Bombyx mori: one gene and its partner. The protein of the gene in region 2 purifies or fractionates together with the protein of the main gene of each other region. This does not show direct contact. Links are inferred from orthologs where the notes say so. Each region holds a gene or a part of one and is shown on either strand. Other genes may lie near its edges.

Evidence for each region. Proteins that work in one complex are often made in the same cells at the same time.
Region 1: the proteins of wibg (region 2) and Y14 purify together in Drosophila melanogaster (affinity purification with western blotting; 3 studies listed by BioGRID, with this or other methods). This does not show direct contact. The link is inferred for Bombyx mori from reciprocal best matches to the Drosophila melanogaster genes Pym and tsu.

What each region holds. Positions count from the first base shown.
Region 1 is NC_085108.1:4,111,752-4,116,008, forward strand, and holds the start of Y14 (RNA binding motif protein Y14), read right to left. Parts: upstream 2,950-4,257; 5' UTR 2,812-2,949; coding exon 2,751-2,811; intron 2,071-2,750; coding exon 1,968-2,070; intron 1,816-1,967; coding exon 1,698-1,815; intron 665-1,697; coding exon 551-664; intron 1-550. Other genes in the region: uncharacterized protein LOC101745843, read left to right, coding at 4,240-4,257.
Region 2 is NC_085114.1:15,048,635-15,052,927, forward strand, and holds wibg (partner of Y14 and mago), read left to right. Parts: upstream 1-1,481; 5' UTR 1,482-1,663; coding exon 1,664-1,700; intron 1,701-2,049; coding exon 2,050-2,319; intron 2,320-3,782; coding exon of another isoform or gene 3,783-3,788; coding exon 3,789-4,057; 3' UTR 4,058-4,177; downstream 4,178-4,293. Other genes in the region: protein lin-37 homolog, read right to left, coding at 305-413, 873-954. UniProt on the Drosophila melanogaster protein: Regulator of the exon junction complex (EJC), a multiprotein complex that associates immediately upstream of the exon-exon junction on mRNAs and serves as a positional landmark for the intron exon structure of genes and directs post-transcriptional processes in the cytoplasm such as mRNA export, nonsense-mediated mRNA decay (NMD) or translation.

The sequences.
Region 1 (4,257 bases), on a different chromosome or scaffold from region 2:
CTAGGTCTGCTGTGAAGCAGTAATATGGTTCGACTTGAAGTCATGTTTCAACTCATGTTACCTGTTAGATGGCGTATTTTCATTGTTGGTGTCTATGGACTACAGTAACCATTATAATCAAGCGGGCCGTGAATTCTTTCATCCAAACAAAGCAATTAAAAAAGATACATACGAAGTTTAAGATGTATACAGTGGATATCTTTAAACGAGCAATTCTTGTATATTAATATATATGTATATAATTTGAATCTCGGAAACGGCTCCAACGATTTTCATATAACTTAGTATACAGGGGATTTCGGGGACGATAAATCGATCTAGCTACGATTTATTTTGAGAAAATGTTGTTTTATTCGTGTTTTCAAAAATTAACTCTTCCTGACATCTATTGGCGAATAATAATACTATTTTTCTTAATTGAGGGCAACTAACCGCTTTAAAGACACAACAAGATGGCGTTATCAAAAAAAACCGGTCATCATTCAGTATGTATAAAGTGGATACCAAAGCACAGTAAGTCTTATATTAATCAGTAGCACTAAGTACTTACAGCGGCTTGTTTATAAGTCTCGTACTCAACTAGAGCGTAGCCTTTGAGGAAGCCTGTGCGTCGGTCCAGATTCAGATGAATATTCTTTATCTCACCAAACTCGGAAAATTGATTCTGTCAACAAAACAAACTAATATTGTTTCCACTGATCGAATCACCGATCCTTATAAAAAAAGGGTGCGTGTACTTATGTACGCGCGTAAGAAGTTATACTTTATTTTTATTAATTTTTATTTTTTTTTAGATGTTAAATAAATATATTTAATGTTAATAATTTAATAATATTTAGTATGAATTATATTAAAAAATAATTTTGTCATTTATATTAGTAAAAAATAAATGCTAATCACACTTTTTTTTACGAGTGAACATGCGCGAAAGTTCACCTGCGGCTATATTCAGACTCTCCAAGTTACGGCGGTCGTATTTTAATGAGCGATTTAGTGGGCAACTTCATTTCTGTTAAATTTGTGTCACGGTGCGCGTGCATCGTAAAATTTCACTCTCATCAATTTTTCACAACGCGCCTAAAGAACTTCAATAAAATTTGTAATAGTGGTCTGCATATATTCTATGAAAAACTTGACATATTTTTATTAAAAAAAAAGGATTTGTATTACATACTTATTCTATTGGTCATATAATAATTTAATCTTATTGGCAATGTAGTAATGTAGGCAGCGGCTTGGCTCTGTCCCTGGCGCATTGCTGACGTCGATAAGCGACGCTGACCACTTACCATCAGGTGGGCCATATGCTCGTCTACTGCTCGCATGTTGCCTAGAAAGGCAATAAAAAAAACCTATAGTCCTATTAAATTATTATATTATTATTGATCAATACTATTCCACAGATTTACACTAATGTTTCAAAGTGGCTACATTCACATTTTTATGAATATGTCAATGTCCCTATTGATGCGTGTCTATTTACCAACAAATACATTGACATGACAAAATATCTTTTCTTTGACTTAACCTATTTCACATTTCACATTAATTAAATAGGAATATACCTTTTAATCTTTCACATTGTTTTTTTGTAATTATAACCATTTCAAATTAAGGTGTGTCTCAAACAGTAGCTACAAGTAGATACAAAGTGGAAATTTTATCTTCTAAATATAAATAAAAGAAGTTTTAATTGCCTGTATATCTTCTTCTTGTGCTTCTTCATGTACATTACTGACAAACAGGATCCAGCCTTCAACTGATCTCTGAGGTCCTGGTGTACCGCTATCGCCTTCCGGAGCTAAACTGTCGTATCTGCAACAAAACAATACAAAGTTTTGGCCACTGTTGGACATGTTAAGCCTGGTTCGGTTGTGGGTTTTTCCAGAGTGGAAACAGAGCTTCTGTTGATTAGCAAGAAATATTATTATTCAGTACAATGGAAAATGACAAAATCTGTGTATTACCTTCCGCGGTTACCCCGTTCTGCAGCACTGCCTCCACCGGCTTCGTTGCCAAAACCACGACCTTTTCGCTTACGTGCCTTCTCCTTAAGTCTAGCGATTCCCTCTGTAACATTTTTAAATACTGTAATTTTACACTAAATTTTTTTTTTATTGTTGGGTGCATGATCTCACAGCCCACCTGTTGTTTAGTGGTTACTGGAGCCCATAGACATCCACAATGTAAATGCGCCATCCACCTTGAGATATAAGTTCTAAGGTCTCAAGTATACAACGGCTGCCCGGCTGCTACGGCAGAAATAGGCAGGGTGGTGGTACCCACCCGCGCGGACTCACAAGAGCTCCTACCACCAGTATATTATGTGTTATTTTTGGAAATCAACAACATTACAATTTTTAGTTTACTTTAAGCTTAATTTAGTGCAAGAATAATTATAAAACACGTAAGAATCACCAATGTAATGTCCTAAAGCACGAAATATGAAAAAATGGGGAACAAGCAATCTATATGTTAGATTTATATGTCTTAACAAGTCTGGTGTGCATCATTTTGTATGTGTGCATTTAAATTAAACCCAGTGGTGAAAGTTTAACGTCGACCGGCGATAATAACATTACAAATGTAAAAAAAATTCAGTCGGAAATTATAACCTTAATTGAGACAACATTTCCCGTTTTATGTCCACACATAATTGCTTGTTTAAGCTACGAGCAGACTTTACAGATAATGAATAGGAAACAAAATTTGATTAAAATATTTTTAATAATATCAATTGTTCCACTTACGTTCACCATCTTCGTCGACTTCAAATTCTTCTGAATTTTCGATATCTAGCACGTCAGCCATGTTTTATAGTAGATTTACGTTATGAGAAGTAGTAAATAATTTAAATAAAATGTAATTAATAAAGATGTATTTATCTAGAGACCATATGAGTTTAAAAAATCAAAAAGTTACACAAATTAATCTTGAAAACTCCGCATCAAACACGACCACCATAGATTATTCCATAGATTATACACTTATTATATTTGAGAGATTATTCATAGATAAGACATGTATACGACAATCACATTTTTAAAGGACTTTATGACCTGGTAACTAAGACTTTTAGGTCAAGACTTATTTTAATTTTAATGAAAACTTTTTTTATATGAAATATGGCAGGAAATTAAATTGAATGGAAATTAAAACGAAATGAAATGAAAGGAGATGAGATGATATGGGATGAAATATAATCTCAGGAAAATGGTGGACATTTAGTGAGACTTTTTCAGTGCACTTTTTGGAAGATCCCGAGAAATTACGTTCGGCGGCTTTGTTTCATTTTCACACATTTGTGCACTTACACAGTTACTAAACAGATAATAAACCACCGTTATTACGCCTTTAAACTCGAAGAAGCACTAAATAGACAAAACAAAACAGATCACAAAACTTCATTCCTCGCGTTCCCGTCAAAAAGTCCCACAACAATCGTACATCAACGTCAAAAATAGATAATATACATAATAGAAGTGTATTGTATAGAACTGTATTTTAAATGGCATTAAGTCCGCCTTTATACTGTCAAGTTTATAAAGTTATGGCGAAGCTGAAATTTAATAGCCTCTCAAGGCTATCAGAATAAGTAGGAAAAAATAAAAAAATAGCACAAATAGATATCTACTTCAAAAAAAATGTCAATTTTTTTTTTCATAAATATGATTAAAAAACCACCAAAAAAAGGGAAGGATTGCCAAAAAAATTATGTTATATGTATACATTTATTAATCATCATACAAATTTCCTCGAATAATATGAAACTGTTCTCTCTCTCTCTCTCTTCGATCGGTTCCTCACTGCTGAGGATCGTGACTCCGTCCGATTTCGTCAACCAACTGTCTCCATCGATCCCGCCCTGCAGCCCGGTGGAGTGCGTCGCTGATAGGTATCCCCAGTTCCTCCGCTATTTGTTACTTAATTATTATATATATTTATCACTTTCACTTCTTTTAAGTACAATGCAATTTTCAATGATATTCGAAAATCATAAAATATGATTAAATTATTTCAAATATGAAAAGAACTTCTAACTTTTGATCTTTCTTTTTAATTCTTTAGTTGAAATAAATGCGATTTTTAAAATTTTAATATACTCTTTAAGCTTGTGAATTTTTTATCATCTGAAAATAAAAAAGAATAGAGTAATCAAATAAATAATAATCAATGTCAAACTAACTTTCAGAGTTTCAGTCTATTAGCATACATTGAAATGAAATTAGTAGTAAAATCATGAGTGACTGTAATTTA
Region 2 (4,293 bases):
TGGTCTGTACTATATTGGTTAACTTTAGGAATCCTGTGTTACATTCATATACATTTATTCTGGTTATTAACCTGGCTAACTAAAATTGTCTTATAACAAAATCTAATTTTAGCTGGTCTACTTTTCTTCTGTTGTCATGATCTTAATCGTTGATGGTTGTGTCTAGTTTGATTTTTCATCAATCAACTATCATGACAAACTCCTCGAAGTCTCAATGGCCTCAGTCTTATTTATTAGCTTAAACTATATTAAATATAATGCAATTCTAGTTTAAAATGTATAATAGATATCTATGAATAAATACCTTCTTTTCCCTGGTGTAAGTTCAGTAGAGTCATCAGAATCCAATGCCGGTTCCAATATTTCCATTAACGCTCCCTGCAGCCTCCCTCGAGCAGTTGTCACCTCTTTTACTGTTTGTTTAAACAAAAAACATTAAAATATGTGATATACTATTTTCTTCAGTTTTTAAAAGATGTAATTGTAACTATTTTTTCGCTCTAATCACGCGTATCTTACTTTCACGACATTTTAAATACTTTGCATTTATCAGGATCTTCGACTACTAGCGTGTTAGTGATTTTATGATGACTGACATTATATATAATAAACTAGACGCGGGAATACAATAGATAATTATAGATACGAATCCGGTGTAAGCTTTGAATTTAAAACAGTTCAGCAAAAAAATTCGTTTTTAAATTAAGAATTTATATTCGATATTCAATATTCTGCATCTTTATTGAAGGAAACTCAAATCGAACATGGTCCTCCCCTAAGCTAAAAGTTTAACCACCAACCAACGAGACTACCATATCAGGAAAATTTTATATCCTACAATTGTGTATTAAAGTTCGTTATGTTGATCAAACCTTTATTAGAAATTTGAGGGAATTGCGTTATACTCTTTCCTTTGTTTTTGATTGGAGTGAAAATCCTTCTTCGTTTACGCATTTTTAAACCTGCTCCTTGAATCTATTTAAAATTAAAATAACTAAAATAATTAATCAAAACAAATGAGATGTGCACAGTATATTTAATTTGTTCTTTTTTAATTTGTATAAGGCCATTGGCTACTCTAACTTTGGGTCTACATTCGTGTTTTTTGTTGAATGCTGTTTTTTTTTTTGGAGAAATCTTGAAGTTACAAAAAGGATATAATATTATAGGATAAGTTAAAAAAGGTGACGATAGTGGATTTTAATATGTTTTTTTTTCATGTAAAAACTACTCATAAGTATTTAGACGAGAATTCTTGATATTTTCTCAAAAGTTAACTAAAATAGCAGTCAATTCTCATCTTACTAGCATACTATTTCCTTTAATTTTGTATCATATCATTTTATTTCAGATAAATTAATCTTATTTCTCATTTAACAAAGTATTTTAATGTATCTTTGAAATAATAAAATTAAACCATCAAACTCGACACGAGTAACGATGGCAGAGAAAGAAACCGAGTGCTATATATGTAAAAAGTAACAATCTATGGTCCCTCTGTTATGTGTCAAACAAAGCGGTTCAATATTTTATTTGTCAAAATAGTTTCTTGTGTGAATCTTGGTTTGACTGTGTAGAGTACCACGAAAATAGCTCATTATTTAAGAATACATTGCCGTGATTTATAAATGTTGAAATACAAATTGAAATCTTATGTATTATAATGTCAACACCAACGGCTTATGAGCACGACGCTGATGGTTAGTGTACAAAAAAATTCACGATTGAAGAATTTTCAAGCCTCACCGCTTTCTCTAGTAGTTTTCACATTAACCACGTTTCGTGTGATTGAAGATATTCGAATTAATTGATACAATACGATTTTTTTGTAAACATTAGAGTTTAACGTTTCACACAATAATTATAGGAAGAACTGTCCTTTAAATACTTGAATTTTTCATCCAAATATATTACCTATTATTGTTAATTAACAGTCTATTATATATTTCTAATCGAGCTTAACTTTTACTGATTTTCAAAGATAAAACTAATTACAAAAACTTTACAAAATTAATTTAAACTTAACTTTTAAAAATTTCAACATTCAAGGGAGTAAATTCATTCCTGCAACTCAAAGACCTGATGGAACCTGGCGCAAGCCGAGAAGAATAAAAGAAGGTTATGTACCTCAAGAAGAGGTACCGTTGTATGAAAGCAAAGGAAAACAGTTCAGGGCCAGGCAAAATGATGGACTTCCGGTTGGACTTACACCTGAGATTGTAGCTCAAGCACAAAAGAAGAAAGGTCAACGAAGCACTATCCAACCTATACCTGGAATGATTATAACTGTTGAAAAGAAGAAAAAGAAAAAGAAGACAGGTATAAAAAAAAACATTTTTTGTTGTTCCTGAAGCAAAATGGTACTTGGTGTAATATGTTATTACATCATCAAATGGTCATTGAGCTCATCTGCTTATCTATAGGGCTCATATATAATAAATGAAGCTTTGAGTCCTTACTGAATTAATATTTCATGAAAAAATTTAAGGTACTTTTCTGTGTGAGGTGACTTCTTTCTGGTCGTTCCCTCTATGCTGAGGATCATGACTGTATGTCAATCTCCTCCACTCGGTCCGGTTCTGCGCCATAAGTACCGCTTCCTGTATCTGGCCTCTAGTCACCTCCTTAAATTGGTCCACCCATCTAGCTGGTGCTCTTCCTCTAGCACGCTAGGTACTCTTAAATTACATAAAAGAAAATATTCCAGCACTTGCTAGATTCCTGCAGTAATATCACCCTGGCTATAGAAACTATCTAGAGCTTTGCTATATAATATTTTTAGAATAAAAAAACTTAAGGATGAAATGAGTAATAAATATGCTTTTTTTCTTATTTCGTTGGAAAAAATCATGCCCCACCTGGTGTTAAACGGTTACTGGAGCCCATAAACATCTACAACCTAAATACCACCAACCTTTTACAGTACAATGGCTGCCCCGCCCCACCTTTCAAAGCAAAATCTATTACTGCTTCACGACAAAAATAAACAGGGTGGTGTTATCTACCTGTGTACTCATGAGACGTCCTACCACCACTAATTATACAGATTATAATTTTATGGGTTTTATTTTTAATACACGATTTTACTCCATCACAGTGGAAGTCAATCATGAACATTTGTTATGTACTTATTTTACTAGAAAAAATGGTACCTGACTGCAGATTCCTACCCCATTGCATCGCTTGATACGAATGCACCGGGCTTCTTATCACTTAGGCCACAACAGCTTCATCAAGTGACAAAGAATATAGAAGGACACTTGACAGGGAGTTCAAACGCAGTTAAGGGAAATTAATCTAGTCAAAACAGCAACACATTGTCATGTTTATGAATAGCTTTCACAAATAAAGAATAAGACAGGGTAATCTTACAGAATAACTTTTGAGGAATAATTAGTATTAGGGATTTTAAGTTGCAGTCTCAAAAAGCTCAATAGCAATATTAGGAAGCATACTATCCTATTCATATTATAGAAGATTATTATTTTGCTGGCATACACGGCTGGTGAACATGAACGTTTAAGGCAATTTTTAGTAAATATGTAAACCTTAGCTTCCAAAAACATATTTAAAAAATGACAAGAGCTATCAAGCCGATAGTTCACAAAAATTTTGATACATTATTTTTAAAGATTCTTAATACTTTACCCATTTTAAATTTTTGAACTTAGTTACTTTATATTTTAAATGTAATCTTCAATCACACCACTAAAAATAACCAATATTATTGCAGTGAACATTTGGTTAGAGAATTTTGATTTTTATGAACTCTAAATTTTTAGTTACAGGTGTTGAAGAAGCTGCAGAAAAACTTGCCAAATGTGAAATACAAGAACCAACCGTACCTAGTCAGTCAGTACCGACTGAAAGTATATCTCAGTCTGATCCGACAAAACGCCTCAAGAATCTCAGAAAAAAGCTTAGAGAAATAGAGTTTCTAGAGGAAAAAATAAAAGCAGGGCTTCTTAAGAGCCCTGATAAAGATCAAAAAGAGAAAATGTCAAAAAAGAATGAAATTTTAAATGAAATTGACATTTTAGAGAATAGTATTCTATGATTTATTGCAATTCAAGATTTTATGAGACATTTGATTATCATGTTCTTGTTATGTGTGTGTCGTGGTGGATGTGCGAGTGAAATGTTTCTTTTTAATTATACAATATATTTACAACATTAATGTGTTTGAGTTATTTATTCGAATTGTCTCATAATTTTGTGCTCTGGATTACTAAGTCGTGTGGAGGTCTGAATGTGGGAAACGTAGAAGTTCCTATTTCCTGCACTATACTTTTT